3 linked regions of the Sus scrofa genome follow. The protein of the gene in region 1 interacts with the protein of each later gene in a pairwise test. Links are inferred from orthologs where the notes say so. Each region holds a gene or a part of one and is shown on either strand. Other genes may lie near its edges.

The links.
Region 2: the proteins of NDEL1 (region 1) and ZNF197 interact in a two-hybrid assay, tested with the Homo sapiens proteins (2 studies listed by BioGRID and IntAct). The link is inferred for Sus scrofa from reciprocal best matches to the Homo sapiens genes NDEL1 and ZNF197.
Region 3: the proteins of NDEL1 (region 1) and MIS18A interact in binary tests that used the Homo sapiens proteins (3 or more experiments, as listed by UniProt). The link is inferred for Sus scrofa from reciprocal best matches to the Homo sapiens genes NDEL1 and MIS18A.

The regions. Positions count from the first base shown.
Region 1 is NC_010454.4:53,615,288-53,618,821, forward strand, and holds part of NDEL1 (nuclear distribution protein nudE-like 1), read left to right. Parts: coding exon 1-66; intron 67-991; coding exon 992-1,140; intron 1,141-3,188; coding exon 3,189-3,325; intron 3,326-3,534. UniProt on the Homo sapiens protein: Required for organization of the cellular microtubule array and microtubule anchoring at the centrosome. May regulate microtubule organization at least in part by targeting the microtubule severing protein KATNA1 to the centrosome.
Region 2 is NC_010455.5:27,895,941-27,899,474, forward strand, and holds part of ZNF197 (zinc finger protein 197), read left to right. Parts: coding exon 1-1,980; 3' UTR 1,981-3,534. UniProt on the Homo sapiens protein: May be involved in transcriptional regulation.
Region 3 is NC_010455.5:195,914,926-195,918,342, reverse strand, and holds part of MIS18A (protein Mis18-alpha), read left to right. Parts: intron 1-487; coding exon 488-610; intron 611-3,417. UniProt on the Homo sapiens protein: Required for recruitment of CENPA to centromeres and normal chromosome segregation during mitosis.

The DNA.
Region 1 (3,534 bases):
GAACAAAGAAATAGAGACTTGCAAGCTGATAACCAAAGACTGAAGTATGAAGTGGAAGCATTAAAGGTAATTGTGCTAGGTAGAAGCCAGTGTCTCATGTGCTGGGTTTTATTAAAATGAGAAGTACGTCTTTTTCAGGTAGAGTTTAAGAGCCGAAGCAGGCAACATGAAAATATAAAAAGACCGAAAGTGAATTTTTGACACAAATTGTTTACTTTGATGGAACCAAGGGATAGGTGGTTTAGAGTTCAGGAGTTCACTTAGAAACTCTGTAGCTGTCAGTTTCTTAAGCTATAATGTTCCTTGCTGTAATATTATGCTGTAGTGCCTATGATTTTCAAAAGTTGCCTGATGACTTGTTTTGACAGATTGCCTCATTCTGTGGTACTTTAAAAGCATATTTGTGTGAAGTACACATTTATGTCATTATGGTTCATAGTCCCTTTAGTTTTGGAGTTGCGTTTGGTTTTTAGATACTCCCTTCTAACAAGTAATTTTCAGGAGTAAAATGATGAACCCCTTTGGCTGCTCTGGATCACATGCCGAAGCCACATGCTTGGGTGTTGCTGTGTCAGGGCGTGGGGTGGGTTTGAGGAAGTGGGGATGGGCTGGCGAGAGGGAGCCAGTTTGCACTTGTCAGTCACTTCTTTGTGCTCATCCTGGGCTGCATTCCGCCAAGAACCTAAGGTTCCCTCACCAAGATTGAGGTTTTGGAGGCAATACCTTTCAGTATTTTTACCTCTTTTCAGAGAGATCATTATTAGATATCTTTGAGAGGAGAAGGCTTGACTGATTTGATGAGTTGAGGCACTTGGATCTGAATGTGTTACTGTTCTAAACTATTTTAAGAAGAGAGGGGTATTATCAACTCAGATTATGGGTGAATGCCTTGGATCCCCCCTGACCCTGCAGCTTAGTTGGGTTACATCTTTTATTAGAGAAAAATATATGTTTGTGATGTGTACTTTGCTTCTTACACTCACTCCTTCAGGAGAAATTAGAACATCAATATGCACAGAGCTACAAGCAGGTCTCCGTATTAGAAGATGATTTAAGCCAGACTCGGGCCATTAAGGAGCAGTTGCATAAGTATGTGAGAGAGCTGGAGCAGGCCAACGACGACCTGGAGCGGGCGAAAAGGTAAGTCCGGGAGGTGCGTTTTGTTAGACTCACTGGAGCTGGCGGTCGGAATCGTCTCAACCTGTCACCTGGCTCTCCGGCCCACAGCATTTCCTTGCCATCTTTCATGCCCCCTGTACCTCGTTCGTTGCATTGCAACTTAGCAAAAATCCTCATCTCCCCAGATGATGCCCTTCCAGGCTTTTCTTTCCGTTTTGACTTTTTCCTTCCTTTATGTACCATTGTTGGCTCTGCTTGGTCTTTGTTTAAAACGTGTCTCGTTCCCTTCTCTGTCTTCCCTCTGTGTTGTCACGACTACCACACTTTTTGTAGGTCCTCTCGTTGTATAGCTGAATTCTGCAGTTACTTCCTAGCCAATCTGTTTTTAAAAATTCACTCCTTTTTATTCTCTTCTTTTAATACCAATGAATTTTTTCTTTCAAAATAATGCTTTTATGATGATTTTGCTGAATAGCCTGTAGTTGCTTGCTGTTACTTTGCCAAGATTTTATGTATCTATAATGAGTTGTTTCTTAACCATTCCAAACGTAATTCCTTTTACTTTACAATTACTGTCTGGGATTTCTTTCCTTAGTATTTGAGTGACTCTTAAATGCTTGGCATGATGTTAGAGTTGAGAATACCAAGATGAACTCGCCACTGCCCTTGGGCGTGACACGCAAGAGCATTCCGTGTGATAAACACTAGTACAAAGAATGTACAAGCTGCTCCAGGGCATAGAGAAGGGAGCAGATGAACTACCCTGTGGTAACTAGGGAAACTGATGCTGCAAGGAGGAATAGATTTCAACCAGGTGAAGAGAGAGATGTGGAGGCAGGAAAGTGCATGAGGTGTTAATATTTCACTTGGAAGTGTATAGAGACAGGCTGGCTGAACGAGATGACACTGAAGGTATTTGGGGCCAAGTTAGGAAGAACCAACCTTGTGCTTGGCTGTGTTTGAAAGTCATTCATTCTGTAGGCCAAGGGTTGCTCTTTAAGAATGTTTAAACAAAAAAAAAAAATTTTTTTTTTAAACAGAGGAATATTTTCAGATTGTGATTTGAGAAGATAATACTGAGGAATTGGAAGCAGGGAGGAGGAGATGTGAAGACCATTTAGGATTAATGCTGGTGATGGGTCAAGGTTAAGCCAGGGGCAGAAGGTTGAAGGAGAGCAGATGAAACTGGGAGACGTTTTGGCAATTGACAGGACTTGATGAAACTGGACCTGGCATTGGGAGTTCTGACTTGAGGTTAGGGAATTTTATTTCTGTGGCAGATAGTACATAGTGGGTAGAGGGTGCATAGTAGGTGCTTGTCAGTGTTTGTTGAATAAATGAGGAAGACGAGAAATGCAGGAAGAAGAAAAGGGTTGGTAGGAAGAAAGTAGATGCAGTGGGGTCTGGGACTTTGTGTTTTAAACACATACTTTTTTTTTTTTTTTTTAATCTTTTCGCCATTTCTTGGGCCGCTCCCGCGGCACATGGAGGTTCCCAGGCTAGGGGTCCAATTAGAGCTATAGCCACTGGCCTACGCCAGAGCCACAGCAACGCAGGATCCGAGCCTCGTCTTTTGACCTACATGACAGCTCATGGCAACGCCAGATCCTTAACCCACTGAGCAAGGCCAGGAATCAAACCCTCAACCTCATGGTTCCTAGTCGGATTCGTTAACCACGGAGCCACGACGGGAACTCCCTTATACACAGTCTTGGTTAATTTTTATGCACTGTAAAACTGTTGCAAGGTTTTCTTCCTGAAAATGTGTAAGCTTGGTTATATTGTGTTTAAAATCCAGTGGGCAGATGTAAATTGTATAAGTGGCCTTCCTTTAAAAAACTTTAAGGGATTTAGATAGGAATTTACGAAAAGGATATATTGAATGGCCCCAAATGAGAGTCGAGACCCTAAATGTACCAGAGGTCAGAAGGGATGAGGTCATTCTTCCCACTGGGCCAGGCTTTCTAGGCTGGGAAATGGCGTGAGATAAAACTGACAGCTTCCTTCTGTATTATCTCTTTGCATGTTACTTATTAAATTCTTGGACTCTGTACTTTTTTTTTTTTTAGGGCAACGATAGTTTCACTGGAAGACTTTGAACAAAGGCTAAATCAGGCCATTGAACGAAATGCATTTTTAGAAAGTGAACTTGATGAAAAGGAATCTTTGTTGGTCTCTGTACAGAGATTAAAGGATGAAGCAAGAGGTAAGATTGATAACTGAAAGAATATTTACTGCCTTACCATCCCTAAGCCAGAGTGCTAAGCTAGTTTCAGGATCAGCTTTTGAAAACTATGCATTTATATAATTTTATCAGACACTATGCTAAGTACTTTTAATCTGTTAAGTCAGTACCTAACCATCATTTCTAGGAGGTGATGTTATCTCCATTTTATAGATCAGAAAACTAAGGCA
Region 2 (3,534 bases), on another chromosome or scaffold:
AAATGTGATATATGTTGTAAACATTTCAATAAAATCTCCCATCTTATAAACCATCGGAGAATACACACTGGGGAGAAACCTCATAAATGTAAGGAGTGTGGAAAAGGCTTTATTCAGCGCTCAAGCCTTCTAATGCATTTACGGAACCATTCTGGGGAGAAACCTTATAAATGTAATGAATGTGGGAAAGCTTTCTCTCAAAGTGCTTACCTTCTAAACCATCAGAGAATCCACACTGGGGAGAAACCTTATAAGTGTAAGGAGTGTGGAAAGGGCTTCTATAGGCACTCAGGCCTTATTATACATCTAAGGCGCCATTCTGGGGAGAGACCTTATAAATGCAACGAGTGTGGAAAAGTTTTCTCTCAAAATGCATACCTCATTGACCACCAGAGGCTCCACAAAGGTGAAGAACCTTATAAATGTAACAAGTGTCAGAAAGCTTTCATCCTGAAGAAGAGTCTCATTCTGCACCAGAGAATCCACTCTGGGGAAAAACCCTATAAATGTGACGAATGTGGAAAAACCTTTGCCCAGACCACTTACCTTGTTGACCATCAGCGGCTGCACAGTGCAGAGAACCCATATAAATGTAAAGAATGTGGGAAAGTTTTCATTCGAAGCAAAAGCCTCCTCTTACACCAGAGAGTTCACACAGAAAAGAAGACCTTTGGTTGTAAAAAATGTGGGAAGATTTTCACTTCCAAGTCAAATCTCATTGACCATAAGAGGATGCATAGCAGAGAGAAGCCTTATAAATGTACTGAATGTGGGAAAGCCTTCACTCAGAGTGCTTACCTTTTTGACCACCAGAGACTCCATAATGGGGAGAAGCCCTATGAATGTAATGAATGTGGGAAAGTTTTCATTCTGAAAAAGAGCCTCATTTTACATCAAAGGTTCCACACTGGAGAGAATCTCTATGAATGTAAAGACTGTGGCAAGGTCTTTGGTTCTAACAGAAACCTCATTGACCATGAAAGACTTCACAATGGGGAAAAGCCCTATGAGTGTCAAGAGTGTGGAAAAACTTTCATCATGAGCAAAAGTTTCATGGTCCATCAGAAACTCCATACACAGGAGAAAGCCTACAAATGTGAGGATTGTGGAAAGGCTTTCAGTTATAATTCAAGCCTGCTCGTACATCGGAGAATCCACACCGGGGAAAAGCCCTTTGAATGCAGTGAGTGTGGAAGGGCTTTCAGTTCTAACAGAAACCTCATTGAGCATAAGAGAATCCACAGTGGTGAGAAACCCTATGAGTGTAATGAGTGTGGCAAATGCTTCATTCTGAAAAAAAGCCTCATTGGACATCAGAGGATTCACACAAGGGAAAAATCTTATAAATGCAATGACTGTGGGAAGGTCTTCAGTTACCGCTCAAACCTTATAGCCCATCAGAGAATCCACACTGGTGAGAAGCCCTATGCATGTAATGAGTGTGGGAAAGGCTTTACTTACAACAGAAATCTTATTGAACATCAAAGAATTCACAGTGGGGAAAAGACCTATGAATGTCATATATGTAGAAAAGTCCTTACCTCTAGTAGAAATCTTATGGTCCATCAAAGAATCCATACCGGAGAGAAACCTTATAAATGTAATGAGTGTGGAAAAGACTTCAGTCAGAATAAAAATCTTGTTGTACATCAAAGAATGCATACTGGGGAAAAACCATATGAGTGTGAAAAGTGTAGAAAATCTTTTACTTCTAAGAGGAATTTAGTTGGCCACCAGAGAATACACACAGGGGAGAAACCATATGGCTGTAATGATTGTAGTAAAGTTTTTAGGCAAAGAAAAAACCTTAGTGTACATCAAAAAACTCATACAGATGAAAAAAACTGTGAATGCGATGAGTCTGAAAAAGAATTCTCTCAGGCTTCAAATGTTCATCTTCAACAGAAAATCCATTCTATGGAGGAATTCTCTTGGTTCCACAATGCCCATGAGTCTAAGACAGAGATTCAGAAAATCTAGTATTTGTAAAATGGAATAGAATCCCTGCCTACTTGGGTAACTGTTGGATAAAGGGTAGCATATGAGTTTTATAAGGAGAAAAATCATGACCCTTTTATAGACAAGTATGTTACATGAGGAAGAAAGTTAATCTAGACTTTCAAGACTTAAAAACATAAATTGTAGTTAAAAGATACTCTATTCTAGACCATTTATTATGACCCTAGAAAAGGACCTTGGAGCAATTAAAGATTCCAAGAAATTGGATTATGTTTTATAAGATGTATAATGTCATTGTAAATGATAGCAAAAATATCTTTGTATTAAAAAGTGGACATTTTTGAAATATATATATATAGATAGATAGAGTACATTTTATAGGTAGTATTACTGCTACAGAGAGTCTGTGTAGACCTCTGTGATTAAGGCATATCAAACATGGAATTCCATGGGCAAGAATCTGCTGTTTGAGGACAACTTAAGAACATTAGATTTGGAATCAGAAAACCAAGGTTTGTGTCCTTTTTCTTACTAGCTCTGCGATGTTATTGAATTATCCTCTAAGTCTCAGTTTCTCTGTCAGTCAAATACTGACATAATGCCTACCTCATAGGGTGTTGTGAAGATTAAGTGAAAGGATCATGTGAAGGTACTTTATGAAATAATTTAATTGTAAAGTTGCATAAAAGATATGGTCAAAATCTAGAACATGGCATAATTAATATTTGTTCGTTAATTTAATATTAGTACTTCATGAACCTCAAAAGATTTGTTTTTATAGGAAGAGGAAGTATGATAGCTAATTCAGAATTTAGTGCTCTGAAAAGGCTTTTTAAAAACAGCTTTAAAAATGTTTAAGGGAGATAATAGGTAATATACCTAGGTTTTTTAATGGAGAAATGTTGGCTTATTAAATAGTATGTACAGAAATTCTCTGGTGGCTCATTGGATTTAGGATCCAACATTGTCACTTCTGTGGCTAGGGTCACTGCTGTGGTGCAGCTTCGATCCCTGGCTCTGGAAATTCTGCATGCTGCGGATTCAGGAAAAAAAATTGTATGTCCAGCCATTAACATGATGTCAAGAAAAACAATTTATTTTTCAACTTTTGAATTTTAAACCTAGCAGATGTCGAGTGTCAAAATTGAAGGACAGTCCTATGTTGCTTTCCTTGTTGACAGCAGAAAATCCTTAACCCCAGCGCCTGAACTGACTGTTCCTGCTACTGTCATTCTCAATTCTAATCAACATTTCATCAGTACTTACATACGAGTACCTTGTTACTCAAGAAACAACATTCGGTCCCAGCATTCAAGTTACTACATAAGTTTTTCACACAAACTAAAGCCCTTTTCTGCATTTGTATATTTAAATTTTCCTGTTTTTTTTTTTTGTTTGTTTGTTTTGTTTTGTTTTTTAAGATCCTCATATAGGAGGTTCCCAGGCTAGGGGTCAAATTGGAGCTATAGCTGCTAGCCTACACCACAACCACAGCAATGCCAGATCCAAGCCATCTCTGTTACCTATACTACAGCTCATGGCAACACCAGATCCTTAACCCACTTAGCAAAGCCA
Region 3 (3,417 bases), on another chromosome or scaffold:
CCTGTATGTAATGGTTTGCATCTGCTAATCCCAAACTCCTAATCCTTCCCTCCCCAAAGGAATATATTTCTTTCTTTTTTCTTTCTTTTTAGGGCCTCACCTGTGGCATAGAAGTTCCCAGGCAAGGGATTGAATTGGAGCTACAGCTGCCAGCCTCTACCACAGCCATAGCAACACAGGATCCGAGCCTTCTCTGCAACCTATACCACAGCTCACAGCAACGCCGGATCCTTAACCCGCTGAGCAAGGCCAGGGATCGAACCTGCATGCTCATGGTTCCTAGTCAGGTTCGTTAAGCGCTGAGCCACAAAGGGAACTCCTGGGAATATATTTCTAATGTAAACATCTTACTATCATTTTTTCCTCCTTTATACACATGACTTAGTAGGGTCAAAATAACATATTTTAGAATTGAAACATTTATGGATCTCAGCAATGGGATTTTTGTTCCAATCACTTGCTAAAGCACTGGTGTTTCTTGTTGCAGCATCCTGGAGGCTCTGTACTGTGCAGGATGTTCACTCAGCCTTGGCTACGTGTACAGATGCACACCCAAGAACCTAGACTACAAGAGAGACTTGTTTTGCCTCAGTGTTGAGGCCATCGAAAGGTACGTGTGGTGTATAAGTGAATAGCTCCTCACTGAATTCTCAGAAAGTTGTCTGCAGAGAACGTGGTATGAAAACATCAGAGCTAAGTCAACACTGTATGGTTAAAATATATTTTTAAATAATAATTTTTGACAATAACGCCAGTGATTTTTTGTTTGGACCTAATTAATTTGGTATTGGAAAAGTCTGTCATTCTAAATTGCGAGAACATTTTTCAGAGTAAAAACATGTTCAGTTTTTCTTACAATTGGATTTCGTTTAATTGTTTTTTTCTTTTAAAGCAATGTGTGAGTCTATATTTTGTCCACGTAGTTTTTTCCTCTAGTTTTTAGTCTGTGAGAATATTATGAAGAAATAGGAATTTCAAAAACTGTCAGGAAAGAAGTCCCTTTGGTGTTCTAGAAAAAGTAGGAATATGAAGTCCACCTGTTTCCTTGAGGGTAGTAAAGAATTGCCTGCTTTTTCGAGAGATGCAAGGAAGTACCTTCACTTTCAAGATGTCTGAAAAGTGTTAGGAGACAAGGTGAATTAGGGTCTGATGACAATTGTCTTAATGGCCTTAGTGTCGGCATTAGCCTTTTTTAGTAGGAAACAAAATGAATTGACCCCAATGTATATTCACTTATCTTGGAAAAGACGTAATCCTTAAGACTTTAAAAATGCCTAGGAAACTTTATGTATCAGGAAAGAAGAATAGTTTAAGAAAACAGGGTGCCTAGACTTTGATTACTCAAAGTATTTTGTCATGCCTGCTGAGTTTCTTAGTCTCTTTAAAATTTTTATTTTATTTTATTTTATTTATTTTTTTAACTTTGGTACTATTTTTTTTTTTTTTTTTCTTTTTACAGCCACCCCCAAGGCATATGGAGGTTCCCAGGCTAGGGGTCAAATCGGAGCTGTAGCCTCCAGCCTACGCCACAGCCACAGCAATGCCAGATCCGAGCCATGTCTGCAACCTACACTACAGCTCACAGCAACGTCGGATCCTTGACCCACTGAGCGAGGCCACGGATCGAACCCGAAACCTCATGGTTCCTAGTCGGATCTGTTTCTGCTGAGCCATGACGGGAACTCTTGTCTCTTTAAAAATTTTAAAACTGTATTCTTTTTATTATAATTTCTCATTTAATTATTCTTTGATAACTGCAGTTTTGCCACTTTCTTTGAAACTAGACAGGTTTGGATCAAAATTATAAAATCTGCAAGCTTTTTATTGTCCTTACATAAAAAAATAACTTAGTAAGGACTGCTCACTGATATAAAGCATGTAGGGCCACTGCTGGGAGAGAGCAGATCTCTTTTGGTTTTAACATATAAATAGAAGAACTAGGCCCAGACAACTTCGGCCTTAACCTCCATGAGAACCGTACCAAGATTTGTGAAAATCATGTCAACAAGAGTACAGGTTTTGCCGACATGAAATCTCAGTCTAGTGTGGTTGGTACAAAATTTTGAAAGATACAAATCTGTATAAAAGAAAATGCGTGAGAGGTTTCTCCATAGAAGTTCATAGCATTGAAGCTGTTTTTTCCTGAACAGTTGAACTTAAGGTAGTTACCTCCTCTTGGGGCGGAATTTTAATGCCGGTGAACCTGGTCTGTTTTAGAAGTGGCTGCCCTCTGTAATATTTATTTACAGTTTTATAAATTACTCAGTGCCACTGAGTTTTCCCCTCATCTCATTTTTCTTTTCTAAACAGGATATGAATCGCCTTTCACAGCTTCACCTCCCATACCATTTCTCAGAAAATCAATAGGTTTCTAAGAGATGACTGGTTTTTTTTTTTCCCCTTTTGTTTAGGGCCGCCCCTAGGCTGTGGAAATTCCTGGGCTAGGGGTGGAATTGGAGCCTCAACAACAGGAACACCGGATCTGAGCCGCATCTGCGACCTACACTGCAGCTCGCAGCAGCACCAGATCCTTAATCCACTGAGTGAGGCCAGGGCTCAAACCCGCACCCTCACAGGCACTATGACGGGTTCTTAACCTGTTGAGCCTCAAGGGGCACTCTGAGAAGACTGTTCTTAGTTGACAAAAGAAACCAAAGTTGTCCCATGTGATAAAAGACTTCTAAAGCAAGGCAAATGAATCCAGGTTTCTTTTGAGCAACGCCAGCACCTTCTTCATTGTGTTCACATTTATTTGGTTACCAGGGCTGGACCTGCTTCCGTCCCATTGCCAGGCCGGTTTTTTATTCTTCCTATTTTCTAAATCATAGTATCTCATCACCCCAGAGAGTGGAGCTAAACATAGCTCATAGAATAACTGGTGCAGTTGCCCAAATCTAGGTAAGCAAGAGTGGACTCCACAAATCATGTACTCAAAGTCAAATGCAAAAATGCACATGTTCCTGCAAAGTTTTAAGAAGCAAAAAAGCACTGGCTTCTTCAGGATCTTTTTAAACTTTAGAATAGAATTTTGAACTATGAATGTTAATGTTTTGCCACTGAGCTTGTTAAATAGCAAGTTACTCACATACTTATTATATAGGACTTATAGAATACTTGTGTTTCCCAATAATGATAATAATAATAATAATAATAATATTGGGAAATATGTAGGGCAATGTGGACAAAGCTGTTATGGAAAAAAACATGATTTTATGTAATATCGCTTACTAGGTAGGTTGCTATTAACACAGTTTTATGTGTTTACTTGGTACAAATAAATTGTTTAATACACAAGTTTTAATTTTATTATTATAAATTTAATTATTATTTTTTTCTTTTTTTGACCGCACCTACAGCATGCAGAAGCTCCTAGGCCAGGGATCAAACCTGCACCACAGCAACGACCTGAGCCACAGC